Linked DNA regions of Stegostoma tigrinum. The protein of the gene in region 1 binds, or shares a complex with, the protein of each later gene. Links are inferred from orthologs where the notes say so. Each region holds a gene or a part of one and is shown in the gene's direction. Other genes may lie near its edges.

What was found.
Region 2: lin54 (region 1) and transcription factor Dp-2-like share a complex: the UniProt entries of both Homo sapiens proteins name them as parts of the DREAM complex. The link is inferred for Stegostoma tigrinum from reciprocal best matches to the Homo sapiens genes LIN54 and TFDP2.

Annotation. Positions count from the first base shown.
Region 1 is NC_081354.1:77,504,590-77,512,007, forward strand, and holds the start of lin54 (protein lin-54 homolog), read left to right. Parts: upstream 1-4,407; 5' UTR 4,408-4,622; intron 4,623-4,829; exon of another isoform or gene 4,830-4,851; intron 4,852-7,418. UniProt on the Homo sapiens protein: Component of the DREAM complex, a multiprotein complex that can both act as a transcription activator or repressor depending on the context. In G0 phase, the complex binds to more than 800 promoters and is required for repression of E2F target genes.
Region 2 is NC_081367.1:73,714,262-73,722,048, forward strand, and holds the start of transcription factor Dp-2-like, read left to right. Parts: upstream 1-4,784; 5' UTR 4,785-5,586; intron 5,587-7,787. UniProt on the Homo sapiens protein: Can stimulate E2F-dependent transcription.

The DNA of each region.
Region 1 (7,418 bases):
GTCCCCCGTGTCAGCCAATATTATCAATGTTTCCCTGTCTTCATGTGTTGTCTCTGCCCCTGTAAATCTGCCATTACCACTCCTCTCTGAAAAAAAGTCATCCTTTGATAGTAACATTCTTCAAACTACAGCTTCATCTTGACCCTCCGTATCCTCTCCAAAGTCCTTGAATATTTTGTCACCTACCAAACCTGTACCAATGGTTCCCAGAACTTCATGTTTTAATTTGTTCAGTCGGGTTTCTGTCTCACCATAGCGCCAAAATAGCTCTTATCAAAGTTATAAATGACATCCAGTGTGACTGTGACAAAAGTAAATATCACTCCTGATTCTCCTGCAGTCTTTCACAAGGTTGACTATGCCATGCTCCTCCAGAGCCTCTCTACTGTGAGCCAAGTAAGTGGGACTGCTCTCAATCAGTTGCATTCTTATCTATCTTATTGTATCACTTGCAATGGTTTCTCCTTCTTCTGTCATATTTTTATCTCTGGACTCCCCCCACCACCCCCCCAGCCAAAAGAATTTATCCTGACCTTTTTTTGTATGCATGTTGAAAGCACAGAGTAGGTTTTCACAAGTATGCCAACAACAATACAACGTTACCTCACCATTACCTTTTTCACCTTCTCCACAGTTGCTAAACTATCAGACTGCTTTAGCCGACATCCAGCACTGGACAAGCAGAATTTTTTTTCCTATTATGTATTGGTTTGACTGAGGCTATTGAACTTTGTCCCTTCTTTAAAGTTTGCTCTCAAGCTACTGACTGTGTCCCTTTCCCAGTCAACAGTTTGAGACTAAACCAGATTGTGGTCAACATAGTTGACTTAATGGCTGGAGTGCAGTACAGAACAATGCCAATAGTGTTAATGCAATCCCTGTTTGGGGTCTGATAGTTCATGAGTCCTGCCTCCTCATTTGCCCTCCCACATTTGAGAAGTGGTGCCTCTCAAGCTACACATAACTAATTGTCTCACTCTAAGGGAGAGATCCAGTTCAGGTCATTTGTGGACACTGGTTAATTAATTATCCTTCCCCACTGGGTGATTTTCCAACGATATATTTGCCCATTGTTTAGCCCACCTTTCCCAACTTCTGTAAAATCATCTGAATGTGTCAGTCTCAGCTCATCTGCTGATGATAGTCTCATTCAGGTCGTTGCTACCTCTAGAGTTGACTACTCCATTGCTACTGTGGCTTCCATTGTGGCTCCCTCCCACATGCTGCCCTTTATAAACTTAAAGGCATCCAAAACTCTGTTGTCTGTATCTTAACTCACACTAAGTCTCCTTCCTTTACCAGTCTTGTCATCACTGACTCACATCAATTCAGAGTAATGCAATGTTTTGATTTAACAGTTTTATCTTTATTACAAATCCCTTTACAACTTTGTAATTGGCCAGACATTTCCTTATCGTAGAACCCAAAAAGTGCAGAAAGAGGTCTTTCAGCTCATCAAGGCTACACTGACCCTCCAAAGAGCATCCCACCCAGATTCAGCCTCCCACCCTCTTCCCATAATTCTCATTTAGCACAGCCAATCCACCAATGTAACCTGCACGTCCCTGGACTGTAGGAGGAAACCCAGCAGAAACCCACAGGGAGAATGTGCAAACTCCACACAGACAGGTACTCAAGACTGAAATCAAACCCAAATCTCTGGTGCTATGAAGGCAGCAGTACTAACCATTGAGCCACTGTGCTGACCCAAATGTTATGTTGCTTATTATCATATTTTGTTTTTTAATGCCCATATGAAGTGTCTTGGCACATTATATCATGTTAAAGGCACTATATAAACATCAGCTGCGGGAATACTGGCACAGGTATAGGCAATTCAGAACATCCAATATGCCCACGAATAGATTAGATCTTGGCCATCCTTCTACCTCGTTGCCACTTTCCTACTCTGTCTTCATATCTCTTAATGTCATTAGTTTCAGAAACTGATCAACTTCTGTTTTGATCATGCATACTTCCATAACACTCATTCAGAGATTCACCATCCTCTGAATGAAGAAATTGCTGCTGATCTCAATCTTAAATGGCTTACCCTTCATCCGGAGTTTATGTCCCCAAGTTCTTGAGCCACCAGCCAGTGAAGGCATCCATTTACATCCACCCTGTAGAAATTTCATAAATTTTAATAAAATCACCTCTCATTCTTCAAAACATTTGTTGTTGTTGTTTGATTTGTGGAGGCTATGGGGGTGAACTGAATCTTGCCCTTATATAATATTTGTATTTGCACTGTTTCAATAAGAAACAGAAGAGGAACAAAGTCTGAATTTCTCCTCTTTGACTCAGGACTGCTATTGTGACGTTCATATTGACTCCTCCCACATGCTGCCCTCTATAAACCTGAAGACATAGGTTCAGAAATGGAAATTTGAAACAAATCTAAATCCAGCTAAAGTCTAGGAAATTTCAATTTTCAATCTAAAGCATGATCACGTGGGTGCCATTTCCATTCATGTCAGCTATCCAATTTGGTAAGTAGATTTATATCCAAATGCCAATAACCCTCTAGTGAGTACACAAATCTAAGCAACAGCAAAGGACAACTGGTTCCTAATAAGATATAAATGTTGAGACAGATGTATAGATTAATGAGAATGGACAAAACGAGGAACATGAGGGTTTCAGTGAAGATTGTGAGGGCATTGATGAAAGTAGCTGAGAAACGAGAGAAATGGTATTGATGAAAGAGGGAGGAAATGTGGTGAGACAAGTGAAGAAGATGGGCTGGCCAAGAACAAAGAGAAAAGGGAGTCCTAAGCCTGTTGAGAAGATGCAATGAGAGACTTAAACACAGTGAATTGGAATGGGAATGGGTGACTGACAGAGAAAAAAACAGACATGAGTGCTCAAGTACCAAAGTAGGAAGAGCCTAGAAGAGGAAGAAGTATTGTTTTGTAGATTGGTTCTCGGCTGGTTTTAAGTAGCACAGTTGATATTACCAGCTACAGTTTGCAATCAAGAAAATTTAAAACACAAACGCAGTTCCTGAAAGTGATATCAGCCAAGAAACTGAGTGGAACGGGTGACCCAGTTGAAGGGTTTTCATATTTATGATAAAATAGAACTTTTTCTAACATGTGGCTGTAATTTAGAGTAATTGCTTTTACAAAGGGGAGGGAGAAGAAATCCAATGCTAATGTTGCTTTTCTGTTTGCCCATTGTGTTTATCTCTTTTTTCCTAGGTAGTCTCTCAGGATTGAGGGTCACTTTCATGCTTGAATAGTTGGGAAGATGAGTTGCATGCAGGTTTGTGCACTACATCAGGCAGCTTGACCTTTGGTCTGTGCACATTCTCGATGAAGATTCTTGAAGTATCTAACAAAACTTAATACTACTTATCCCAAATTTACTTTGTTTCAATGTTTGAACATTTCAATTCTACATTTCTGGATTTTTTTCTTATTCCTTAACAGATATATTACAGTGTTTTTTTCAGATTTTACAATACTTTTCCACTTTGATTGATCACATGCAGGTACACCATGAGTTGGGAATAATGTTTGACTCTGGGATGCTTTGAGGGCATATGCTGTCCATCTGGGATTATCCAACTCCAAGCAAGCACAAAATAGAGTGGTTGCTTTGGGTGTCTGGTGTCAGGCAAGTGCAGCATATGTCCCATCAAGTGGAGCAGCTTTTGAATTATTTTCAGCTTAAGGCTGGACAAACTGGCTTGGGAGAGGATGCTGCTGTTGGACCTTCTTTCTTACCACCAGTTTTGGAGGACCACATAAAAGGTGTTACTTCTCCAGTCATTGGAGGTGCCTGATGTAAGTTGTTCAAGTCTCCAAACCATTTCGGAGGAGCACAGAGCTGCGCAGCAAACCGTGACCTTTATCTCGAAGGGTCACTGGAGCCGAAACGTTAACTCTGCTTACTCTCCACAGGTACTGCCAGATCTGCTGAGTTTTCCAGCAATTTCTATCTCTGCACCTTTATATTGGATTTCAGATACTGATGTTCAAAACGCTTTTCTTCAGTCAGCTTATGTCTGAGCTGGTAGTGGAACCAGTGATGAACTCAGCAATCTATGCTGGCTTTCATGGAGAAAGCTCCTAATAATCATTCATCCGCATTTTCCAGGATCTTAATTGATTAGTGGGATGGTACTGTGAGGCCCAGTTGAAAGAGAATCTGTTTCGGTGAAATTCGTACTGAGAGGTGTAATTACTGTCCAAACTAAAGAAACCCTCCCACCCCGCAAAGCAATGAGCCTGAAACAGCTGCGATTGGAAAGTTGTGGGTAACTGGGGTGGGCGGAGCAACGTGCGTGCTGGCGTCCCAGGAACGCCGTGACGCACGTCTGTCGTTCCAAACACGACGTGAGGTTTGAGAAGCGGCGGCCTTGGTGGGGGTTGGTGTATGACGTGCTTCGCGGAGCGGGGCCGTGGTCTCCTGGGGAGCGCGGTGATATTATGGGATGTTAGACCTGGAGGAATGGCGCTGGGCGCGTGATTTTGAACAAACACGATCGGTCTCCCGGTGACGAGCGCTGTGTGTCTGGTAACCGGGGCCGCCAGCGCCGCCTCAGGCCCCAGGCGGCCGCGATCCTTCTCCATGCCGCCCGCTTCCAGCTCCGAGCGGCCCGGAACCCGCAGCCGGTGAGTATCCGTCAGCGGCACGGCTATGTTTATGTCAGGGAACGCTGCACCGCTCTGCCTTCTTGGCCCCGACGAAACTGGGGCTGGGCGGCTTCGGAGCACCGGCTGATGGCGGCCGGGCTGGATTGAGAGTGCAGCCCCCTATCTGGACTGAGGCCGGGAGGGTGTGGAGCCCCCGATCTGACTGGGGCCGGGGGCTTCGGTCGGTTTGACGACGACTTTCTGCCTTGTATGAGGTGCCTTCTGTTGAAGTTGTCCGCGGTGTTGTCAGTGGCCTCACTGACTGTTTCCCTCTTTCTAAAAGACTCTCCTCCAGTAATGGCTCTTTGATCGTCCTCTCGCCTTCATCCCAATCCCCCCCCTTATCCCCTTTTCTGTTTCTTTCCCATGATGTCGCCTTAATTTGTTTGAAACTACTTCCACCACCACCGCCCCCCCAGCCACCACTGCCGTCCAGCCGTGCGTTTCGTTTTCTTTTTGCTGTGTTAAACTGTGTTGTTTTTAATATTGTGTAACTTTAATGCATTTCTGAAACTGAAAGGTTCACGTCGCTCTTATAACTCTGGGTTTGTAAAATACATTTGCAATAGTGACTCCTTCGAAGATGACCTACGATCAGATTTTTTTTAAAAAAAGAAACCAAAATAGCTACTGGATCCTGCCTGTATTTGGTCTGAAGCGGTATCTGTAATTTCTGTTTCGCAGCGGTGACTGTTCATCGCGGAGTTTAATCTTGGCTCCTGACTGATCTCCCCAGTTATAAATTTCCCCGGACCCTGGGATCATGATCCCAAAGGGCTTTGTACTGTCAGTGTTCTCAAGAACGGGCAGTATCACAAAGCCCAGGGTCGAATTTTTTTGTTGTTGTGCTGACCTTATACAGGAACCATTTCTTTAAGCCCCGCCAGCGATTTGAACGGGAGCAAGAAGTGCATTTAGATGTTGAAGAACATATCTGAGATTTTGTTTCCAGCAGGTAGATTGCTGATTTGTAAGTTGTTTGTTGTTTGAGGAGGAATGCGCCAGGGCATCAGGCTGAACGTTTGTGGGGTTTGTTCGGCAACTGTGGTATTTCCTGTTAGTTTTTTTTCCGCGGTTTTTTCGTATGATTTTTGTATATCTCCCAGTCTCGCTCAGGCCCTGCCTTTCTGTGGAAATGTGATGACGAGGTGAAAATGGCGGACCTTTCGAAATGCAATCCCTGCCTAATTATACACCCGAACCTAGTCTGAAAAGCCCGAACCGGCTTTGGGCTCTGCCCAGCCTCTCAAACACAAAATGACACATTCTCTCTCTTCACACCCAGATGTCACGCTTGTAACACTTCAGGTTTCTCTGCCAAGCATAGATAGCTCGGTTGCAAAGGCCTGCAGTTCTCCTTTTGAGATCGTTTGGAGAGACGTGGCTCTCTGAAAGATACAGTAAGATATACCCAGATTCCGCCTAACAAAAGATTACGTCTAGAAGTTGTCTAGCCATTTAGTTTACCTGGTCAAAGTACAATGTAAAATCATTCACATGACGTATGTAGGATTTCTAACGGCAAGCATACTTTGCGATATTTCTATTGAGGTTTTTCATCAATAAAGATAATTATCAAATATAAGTCATGCATAAATGTATGTCGCAAAAATCTTCATTCTTTGATCTTTTTGCTCTACTCTGCTGCCGGTTATGTTATTTACAGCGCCCCCTCCCCAATATTAAAAATTAACCAGTTCCGCCCCCTTGTCCTCCCAGAACACGGCTAAGTTGTCATCGTCAGATTCATAACTGTACAAACGCGAACAAGATTCCAGTCAACCTGTTTAGGAATGTTGTTATACACCTCTGGAACAGGTGTGACTTGAACCTGGGCGTCATGGATACTGCATCCTTGACTATCAGCTCTCTGTTCCAGGTTTGGAGGCTGTGATCCTGTTTCTCACTTTGTGTTCACTGTGGGAACGATTGCTCAGCTCCAATTTTTCACCTTTGTAATGTCGCAAAACATCTGACTTGAAGGATGGAGTAGGAAAACTTACGGGAGTTGGAATAAAGTGCTGCTGAGGAGATGTGTTTTAATGGTGAAAAGAAATATAGCAAAAAGCAAGGTAGATAGAATATTGCAAGATAATACAGACACGATGGGCTAAATAGCCTACGTTGTATCATTCTTTTGATCGCTAATGGTGGAATGTAATATAGAAGGGATCATGATGTGGGTAGAAGTTGAAATATCAGCAAGTGCAGACAAGGAAAGAGGGCTGGGGAAGGATGGGAAGCTGGAATTACAAGGAGGACTGAAAAGAAGTTGTGCTTCTGTCTAGTCACCCATTGAGATGCAATTGTTTGTGTGGTAACTTGTTGGCATGTGACTGCTATTTTATCCACAGCAAGCCTTCGCGAACATATGTATGATAAATGATGATTAATTTATCTGTTGGGCTCAAATGGGAGACCACTGACCACAGTGGGAGACGTTGAATTGTTTGGACTGATCAGGGTGTGGTGCGTCAGTTTTTCTAGTGTAGATTTTGCTTTGCTAGAGACTAGTTATGCAGTAAAAAGTTTTTAAACTGAAGTAGAAACTTTTAATAGAAAGTCCTGTGTGAGGCTTGCATACATTCCAATCTCTTGAAAGTAAACAATACATCTTTTTAAAGTTAATGTAAACACCTGCTTGGTCAACTGAGCTGTGTAATGCCTCTGATGTTCGGTGAAAACACTGACAGACCATCGAATGCTAAGGAATATTGCTCAATTTATACAGGGGAGAGGGGGAGGATAGACACTTTACCATTGATTTCAAAGTGT
Region 2 (7,787 bases), on another chromosome or scaffold:
GGACAGTCATTTATGAGAAGGAAAGGGAGCATAAGATAGCTAATGGGAACTGCAGATGATGGAGAATCCAAGATAACAAAGTGTGAAGCTGGATGAACACAGCAGGCCCAACAGCATCTCAGGAGCACAAAAGCTGGCATTTCGGGCCTAGACCCTTCATCAGAAAAAGGGGGATGGGGAGAGGGTTCTGAAATAAATAGGAAGAGGGGGGGAGGTGGACCAAAGATGGATAGAGGAGAAGATAGGTGGAGAGGAGAGGAGAGAGATCAGTCCGGGGAGGACGGACAGGTCAAAGAGGCGGGATGAGGTTGGTAGGTGGGAAATGGAGAATGGAGGTGTGGCTTGAGGTGGGAGGAGAGGATAGGTGAGAGGAAGCACAGGTTAGGGAGGCAGGGACGAGCTGGGCTGGTTTTGTGATGCAGCGGGGGGAGGGGACGAATTGGGCTGGTTTTGGGATGCAGTGGGGAGGGGGAGATTTTGAAGCTTGTGAAGTCCACATTGATACCATTGGGCTGCAGGGTTCCAAAGCACTTCACCAACCCCTTCCACCCCGACCTCAAGTTCACCTGGGCCATCTCCAACACATCCCTCACCTTCCTGGACCTCTCAGTCTCCATCTCAGGTAACCAGCTAGAAACTAATGTTCACTTCAATCCCACTGACTCCCACAGCTACCTAGAATACACCTCCTCCCACCCACCCACCCTCCTGCAAAAATTCCATCCCCTATTCCCAATTCCTCCGCCTCCGCCGCATCTGCTCCCAGGATGAGGCATTCCACTCCCAAACATCCCAGATGTCCGCGTTCTTCAAGGACCGTAACTTCCCACCGGCAGTGGTCGAGAACGCCCTTCATCGTGTCTCCTGCATTTCCCGCAACACATCCCTCACACCACGCCCCCGCCACAACTGGCCCCAAAGGATCCCCCTCGTTCTCACATACCACCCCACCAACCTCCGGATACAACGTATCATCGTCCAACACTTCCACCGTTTACAATCCGACCCCACCACCCAAGACATTTTTCCATCCCCACCCTTGTCTGCCTTCCGGAGAGACCACTCTCTCCGTGACTCCCTTGTTCGCTCCACACTCCCCTCCAACCCCACCACACACGGCACCTTCCCCTGCAACCGCAGGAAGTGCTACACTTCCCCCACACCTCCTCCCTCACCCCCATCCCAGGCCCCAAGATGACTTTCCATATTAAGCAGATGTTCACCTGCACATCTGTCAATGTAGTATATTGTATCCACTGTACCCGGTGTGGCTTTCTCTACATTGGGGAAACCAAGCGGAGGCTTGGGGATTGATTTGCAGAACACCTCCGCTCAGTTCGCAATAAACAACTGCACCTCCCAGTCGCGAACCATTTTACCTCCCCCTCCCATTCCTTAGACGACATGTCCATCCTGGGCCTCCTGCAGTACCACAATGATGCCACCCGAAGGTTGCAGTAACAGCAACTCATATTCCGCTTGGGAACCCTGCAGCCCAATGGTATCAATGTGGGTTTCACAAGCTTCAAAATCTCCCCTCCCCCCACTGCATCCCAAAACCGTCCCCGCCTCCTTAACCCGTTCTTCCTCTCACCCATCCCTTCCTCCCACCCCAAGCTGCACCTCCATTTCCTACCTACTAACCTCATCCCACCTCCTTGACCTGTCCGTCTTCCCTGGACTGACCTATCCCCTCCCTACCTCCCCACCTATAATCTCCTCTTCACCTATCTTCTTTTCTCTCCATCTTCGGTCCGCCTCCCCCTCTCTCCCTATTTATTCCGGAACCCTCACCCCATCCCCCTCTCTGATGAAGGGTCTATGCCCGAAACGTCAGCTTTTGTGCTCCTGAGATGCTGCTGGGCCTGCTGTGTTCATCCAGCTCCACACTTTGTTATCTCTTATAAGATAGCTATTTACCTGTTTTCACTGAAGCCAAAGCAGAAAACAAACAGAGGGCCGGGCCAAATGGTCTATGTTCTGGGTTATAGTTTAAGGCAGTTACCAGGGGCACGTTTCAATTCTGTTGTTCAATGTGCTTCTTTTTTCCCCATTAATTGCTCAAACAATTCTATGCCAGGATTTTGTTGCTGTACCAATGCTCATAATTAGTTATCATTAGTTTTCTGAAAAATATTCTTCCCTTTTGGCCAACAGTGCTCCATCATTTTCTGTCCTAAGTGTCGTCCTCTCTCTTTTCTCTGTCCTACTTGTCGTGACACATTATAAATTCAAATTCCATGGCAGACTGTGGAATTTGAATTCAATAAATATCTGGAATTAATAATCTAATGATGACCGTGAATCCGTTGTCAGTTGTTGGAAATACCCATCTGATTCACTAATGTCCTTCAGTGAAGGAAACTGCCATCCTTACCTGGTCTGACCTACATGTGACTCCAGACGCACAGCAATGTGGTTGACTCTGAACTGCCCTCTGGGCAATTAGGGATGGGCAATAAATGCTGCCTGGCCAGTGATGCCCTCATCTCGTGAATGAGTAAAGGAAAAAAAACTCAGTCGTAATCATTACAAATACCTTAGTTATATCACAGCTATGTCCGTGCCATTGTCCAAGTGTTACTGGGCACAACTTGTACATCATCAGGTCCATTTCTGGATGATCTCCCTGAGCAGTTCCAAATCCCTGTGACTTTTCTTAGAATCCTGTGACTGTTGCCACTTAGCTGGTGGATCTTCAATAGCAGAATCCTGCAGATGTTGGAGATTGGAAATTAAAACAAAATAATGGAGCGTTTCCAAGATAACGAAGTGTGGAGCTGGATGAACACAGCAGGCCAAGCAGCATCTTAGGATCTCGGATTCTCCGGCATCTGCAGTTCCCATTATCAATGGAGAATTTCCAAATTGCTTTGAGAAGTGAGAGTTAACGCTTTTAGTCCAAGGGCACGCTTTCTGATTTTATGCCTGTGGTTCTTGAAGCTGATTCTGTGCCACCCTGACCCCAAAAATTCCTGGCTCAGCTTTAATCTCCACCTCATCTTTACTGCTTGGAGGTGTACAATGTCCCCATACGGGTGGCAGATGCCCCTGCCCCAAGGCTAAGCCCCTCCGAGGGTGGGAGCAGTGTGGAATCTGTCTTGTGGGTAGGGTTACCCCTGTGGTGGTGGGGGGGGGGGGTTCAGGCTGTTCTTGTGTTCACTTGGCCCTTCCCCATCCGACAGCAGTGACCCTGACCCAAACCCGTCCCTCCTGTTGTCCACCCCCTTCTCCGCCACGACCCTGAGCCCTACGCCCATCTCCGGCCACCCTCTCCTAGCCCTTACCTTTCCCACCTTCTGCTCCCCACTCCCGTAGCCCTATCCCGTTCCCCCACCCCTCCCCCCAACTACGCCTCACCCCCTGCCCCCACTCCACTCCCGCACTCCACACTACACTGACCCACCCCCACTCGCCCTCCCCCTACTCCACTCCATCCCCACTCCACGCCACAAGTCCACTCCGCCCCCTCACCTGCACTTGCCCCCTACTCCGCACCACCCTTACTCCGCACCCCCTCCCCTCCCAAGTACTCCACTCCCCCCAACTCTGCACACACCCTCCACCTCTCCGCATCCCCACCTCTTACTCTGTTCCCCACCACTTCACACTACTCCGACCCACCCGCTACTCTGCCCCTCCACTCCCCGACCCATATCCCGCCCCCCTACTACCCCTCCCTCCCACCAAACTCTTCTGCAACTCCTCCACTATCCCCTTCCCCCATACTCCGCCCCTCTCCCCCACTCTGTCCCGCTACACCTCCCCCGCCACTCCGCACCCCTCCACTCCTACCCCTCCCCCAACTCCATTCCTCACTCTGCCCCCATCCCCATCCCACCCACTTTGCACCCACCATCCCCCACTCTGCCTCCCCAACCCCCCAACTCTACTCCCTCTCCTGCCTTCGCTCTGCACCCCCTCCCCACTCTGCCCCTCACCCGCCTTCTCCACCCCCTTCCCCCTCTATTCTGCCCCCCCACTCCACTCCCCCATCCCCTCTATTCTGTACCCCCACTCCACCCCTGTCCCCTCTATTCTACCCCCCCACTCCACCCCCGTCCCCTCTATTCTGTCCTCCCCCACTCCACCCCCGTCCCCTCTATTCTGCCCCCCCACTCCACCCCCCCATCCCCTCTATTCTGTCCCCCTACTCGACCCCCCATCCCCTCTATTCTGCCCCCCCACTCCACCCCCCATCCCCTCTATTCTGCCCCCACACTCCACCCCCATCCCCTCTATTCTGCCCCCCCACTCCACCCCCCATCCCCTCTATTCTGTCCCCACACTCCACCCCCCCATCCCCTCTATTCTGCCCCCCCACTCCACCCCCCATCCCCTCTATTCTGTCCCCACACTCCACCCCCCCATCCCCTCTATTCTGCCCCCACACTCCACCCCCCCATCCCCTCTATTCTGCCCCCCCCACCCTACTCTGCCCCCCCCACCCTACTCTGCCCCCCCCACCCTACTCTGCCCCCCCCACCCTACTCTGCCCCCCCACCCTACTCTCCCCCCCCCACCCTACTCTCCCCCCCCCCACCCTACTCTCCCCCCCCCACCCTACTCTCCCCCCCCACCCTACTCTCCCCCACCCCCAATCCCCCCATTCCTCCCCTCCTCCGTCCCCCATTCCACTCCTCCCCCACCTCCACCCCTCCTCCTCCTCCCTCCCCCACCCCTCTCCAATCCGCCCGCCGGGTGTTATTTGGTGCTGATTATTTGTCCGTTCTCTCTCTCCCCCCCCCCCCCCCCCCGAATTAGACCATGAGGCCGCTGTCAGGAAGATAACTTTCTCCGCTGTTCGAGGCGGGACTTCGATGTGTTCATCTGTTTGGTTCAGCCCACCCACCGGAGCAAGGAAGGCCGTGAGTGCGTGAGACAGGAGTGGGAGAGTGTGTGCTGTGAGTGAGACAGGAGTGGGAGAGTGTGAGCTGTGAGTGAGTGTGAGCTGTGAGTGAGACAGGAGTGGGAGGCTGTGAGTGAGTGAGTGTGAGCTGTGAGTGAGACAGGAGTGGGAGAGTGTGAGCTGTGAGTGAGACAGGAGTGGGAGAGTGTGAGCTCTGAGTGAGTGTGAGCTCTGAGTGAGACAGGAGTGGGAGGCTGTGAGTGAGTGAGTGTGAGCTGTGAGTGAGACAGGAGTCTGAACTGTGAGTGTGAGACAGGAGTGAGAGAGTGTGTGCAGTGAGTGAGAGAGGAATGAGTTAGTGTGAGCTGTGAGTGTGAGACAGGAGTGTGTGAGTGAGAGGAGTGAGTGAGTGTGAGTTGTGAGTGTGAGACAGAAGTCAGTGAGAGAGAGGAGTATGTGAGTGAGAGGAGTGAGTGTGAGCTGTGAGAGGGGAGTGAGCTGTGAGAGAGGACTGAGTGAGACAGGAGTGAGTGAGTGAGTGTGAGCTGTGAATGAGAGGAGTGAGTGGAAGAGGAGTGTGGGGGGTGAGTGAGTGTGAGCTGTGACTGCAGAGAGTGAGGTGTGAGTGTGGTGTTTGCTCAGAGTTTGAGGGAGAGAGCAGGCCCTCTGACAGACTGTGACAACTGGCTGCAGCTGCTTGCTTCTGGGACACTTTGTTGGAGCGGGCACCAAGGATGGTGAGTGGCGAAAGCACTTTAATTTTACGTTTTTTCCTCTTTAATTTTTATTAGAACAAAGCTGTGGCCACTCCGTCTCTGCAGGGCGCTGCCCTGGAATAAATAAAGAAGATTATCAATCCCTGTTTCATTTACCTGATTCCTGGGATGGCAGGACCCTTCGTCTACGGTGTGACATTGGATTCTGTTAGGAATATATTCACTGTGGTTTAGAGAAATGACAGGGGATCTTATAGAAACCTGTAAAATTCTGACAAGACTAGACAGGGTGAATTCAGGAAGGATGTTCCCCACAAGCAGGGAGCCCAGACTCAGAGATCACAGTCTAAGGATCTGGGGTTAGAATAGTTACGATCAAGGTGAGGAGAAATTTCTTCATCCAGAGAGTGGTGAGCCTGTGGAATTCTCTGCCTCAGAAGGTGGTTCGGGCCAAAATGTTGAATGTTTTTAAAAAGGAGTTAGATATAGAGCTTGTGGTGAAAGGGAGCAAAGGGACTGAGTTGGAGGGCCAGCCATTATCATATTGAACAGCAGAGTGGATTCAGAGGACTGAATGGCCTGCGCCTGATCCTATTTTCTGTACTTCTGTCTTTTGCTACATTGCCTCCTGGTACATTATTTGAGCTGCATCTTGCTGCTACTCTCCACGTTCAATGCACATTCAGTCGTTTGAGGCATCAGTACTGCATTTGCAAAGCCTCACTCTCATGCTACTTTTCATGGTTCAGTCACCAAACCTGCAGTTCAACTTTTTTTTAAAATTAGGAAATCCTTTTCACTGCATAAACAAAATGCTTCAGATGTTAGAACTGTGAAATGGAAACAAAATGAGGAAATGCTCTAGCGGCATCTGTGCAGAGAGAGAAGCTTGTCGACATTTTTCATCAGAATTTTTTTTGCAGTTTGGCTGATAGTAGAGCAAGATTGTCTTGACATTAGTAACAACAATAATTGTGGCAATGATATTTCAAACTTTCCCTTTGGTATTTCAGGACAAGAGCAATAGCTGAATGAAGTCGGCAAAATTAGGCCAGGCACTTTTACTTTTTTCCTACAACAAAGTTGCTGAAACCCTAACCCTCCTGTCCTCTTTCTACCTGTAGAGGATATTAGATTAGATTAGATTAGATTCCCTACATTGTGGAAACAGGCCCTTCGGCCCAACAAGTCCACATCGCCCCTTGGAGCATCCCACCCAGACCCATCCCCCTATAACCCACACACCCCTGAACACTACGGGCAATTTAGCATGGTAGGGGAAGAATGGTAGACGGTGATCCAAAGGGTAGACTTAGGCACGAGAGAGTCTTCTGAAAGGTTGAGAAAGGTGCATTGAGGTGAAAGACTTCAGTAGCGGGTTCCTGAATACAGTGCATAGATGGCTGAAGGCCCTGTCTTTGACTGTGGTACATGCAGTGGAGGCTAGAATTAAAATCAGAGTCTGTGCTGATAGGAACTTTCCCAAAACAAGTGGACGATGTTGCTAGTTTATTTAACAATTGAGGAAAATGATTTTAAATGCAATGCATGGGGATGAGGAGAAAATGTAGCATGTAAAGGCAGGAGTGATTGGTATTGGAAACTAGTCCCATTACTCCATGGATCACAGCATAACATACAAGCCAGTTTTCCTGTTACTAAGATGACTGAATATTTCAGGTCTATTAAGTTTTCAAACAGAAGATCTATCAACAAGGCTTTTTAATAAATAGTTATTGATTTGTCATTAAAAAGTATTTAATAAAGATGCAATAATTTGCTGACATAATCAGTGATAAATAAATACATATGTTTGTCCCTCTATATACCTCAGAACTCTCACTGACCCTCTCTCGCACGCATGCACTCCATCTCTCCAACAACACCAGCCCCCCAACCCTGCCTCTGTTCAGGGGGAAAAGAGAAAACAAAACACAGAGATTAACTTTCTAAAACAAAAGGCTAGATGTTTATTATTGGAGGTGTAAGGATAAAGCTCACAATGACCCAGAGGGGTCATGTCTTTTTGTGGCTAGTTGATGTTCATGTATCCTGGTGGCTAGCTTTCTGCCTGTTTGTCCAATTTAGTGTTTGTCACAGTTCTTGCAAGGTATTTTGTAGATGACGTTCACTACATTGGACAAACAGGCAGAAAGCTAGCCACCAGGATACATGAACATCAACTAGCCACAAAAAGACATGACCCACTATCACTAGTATCC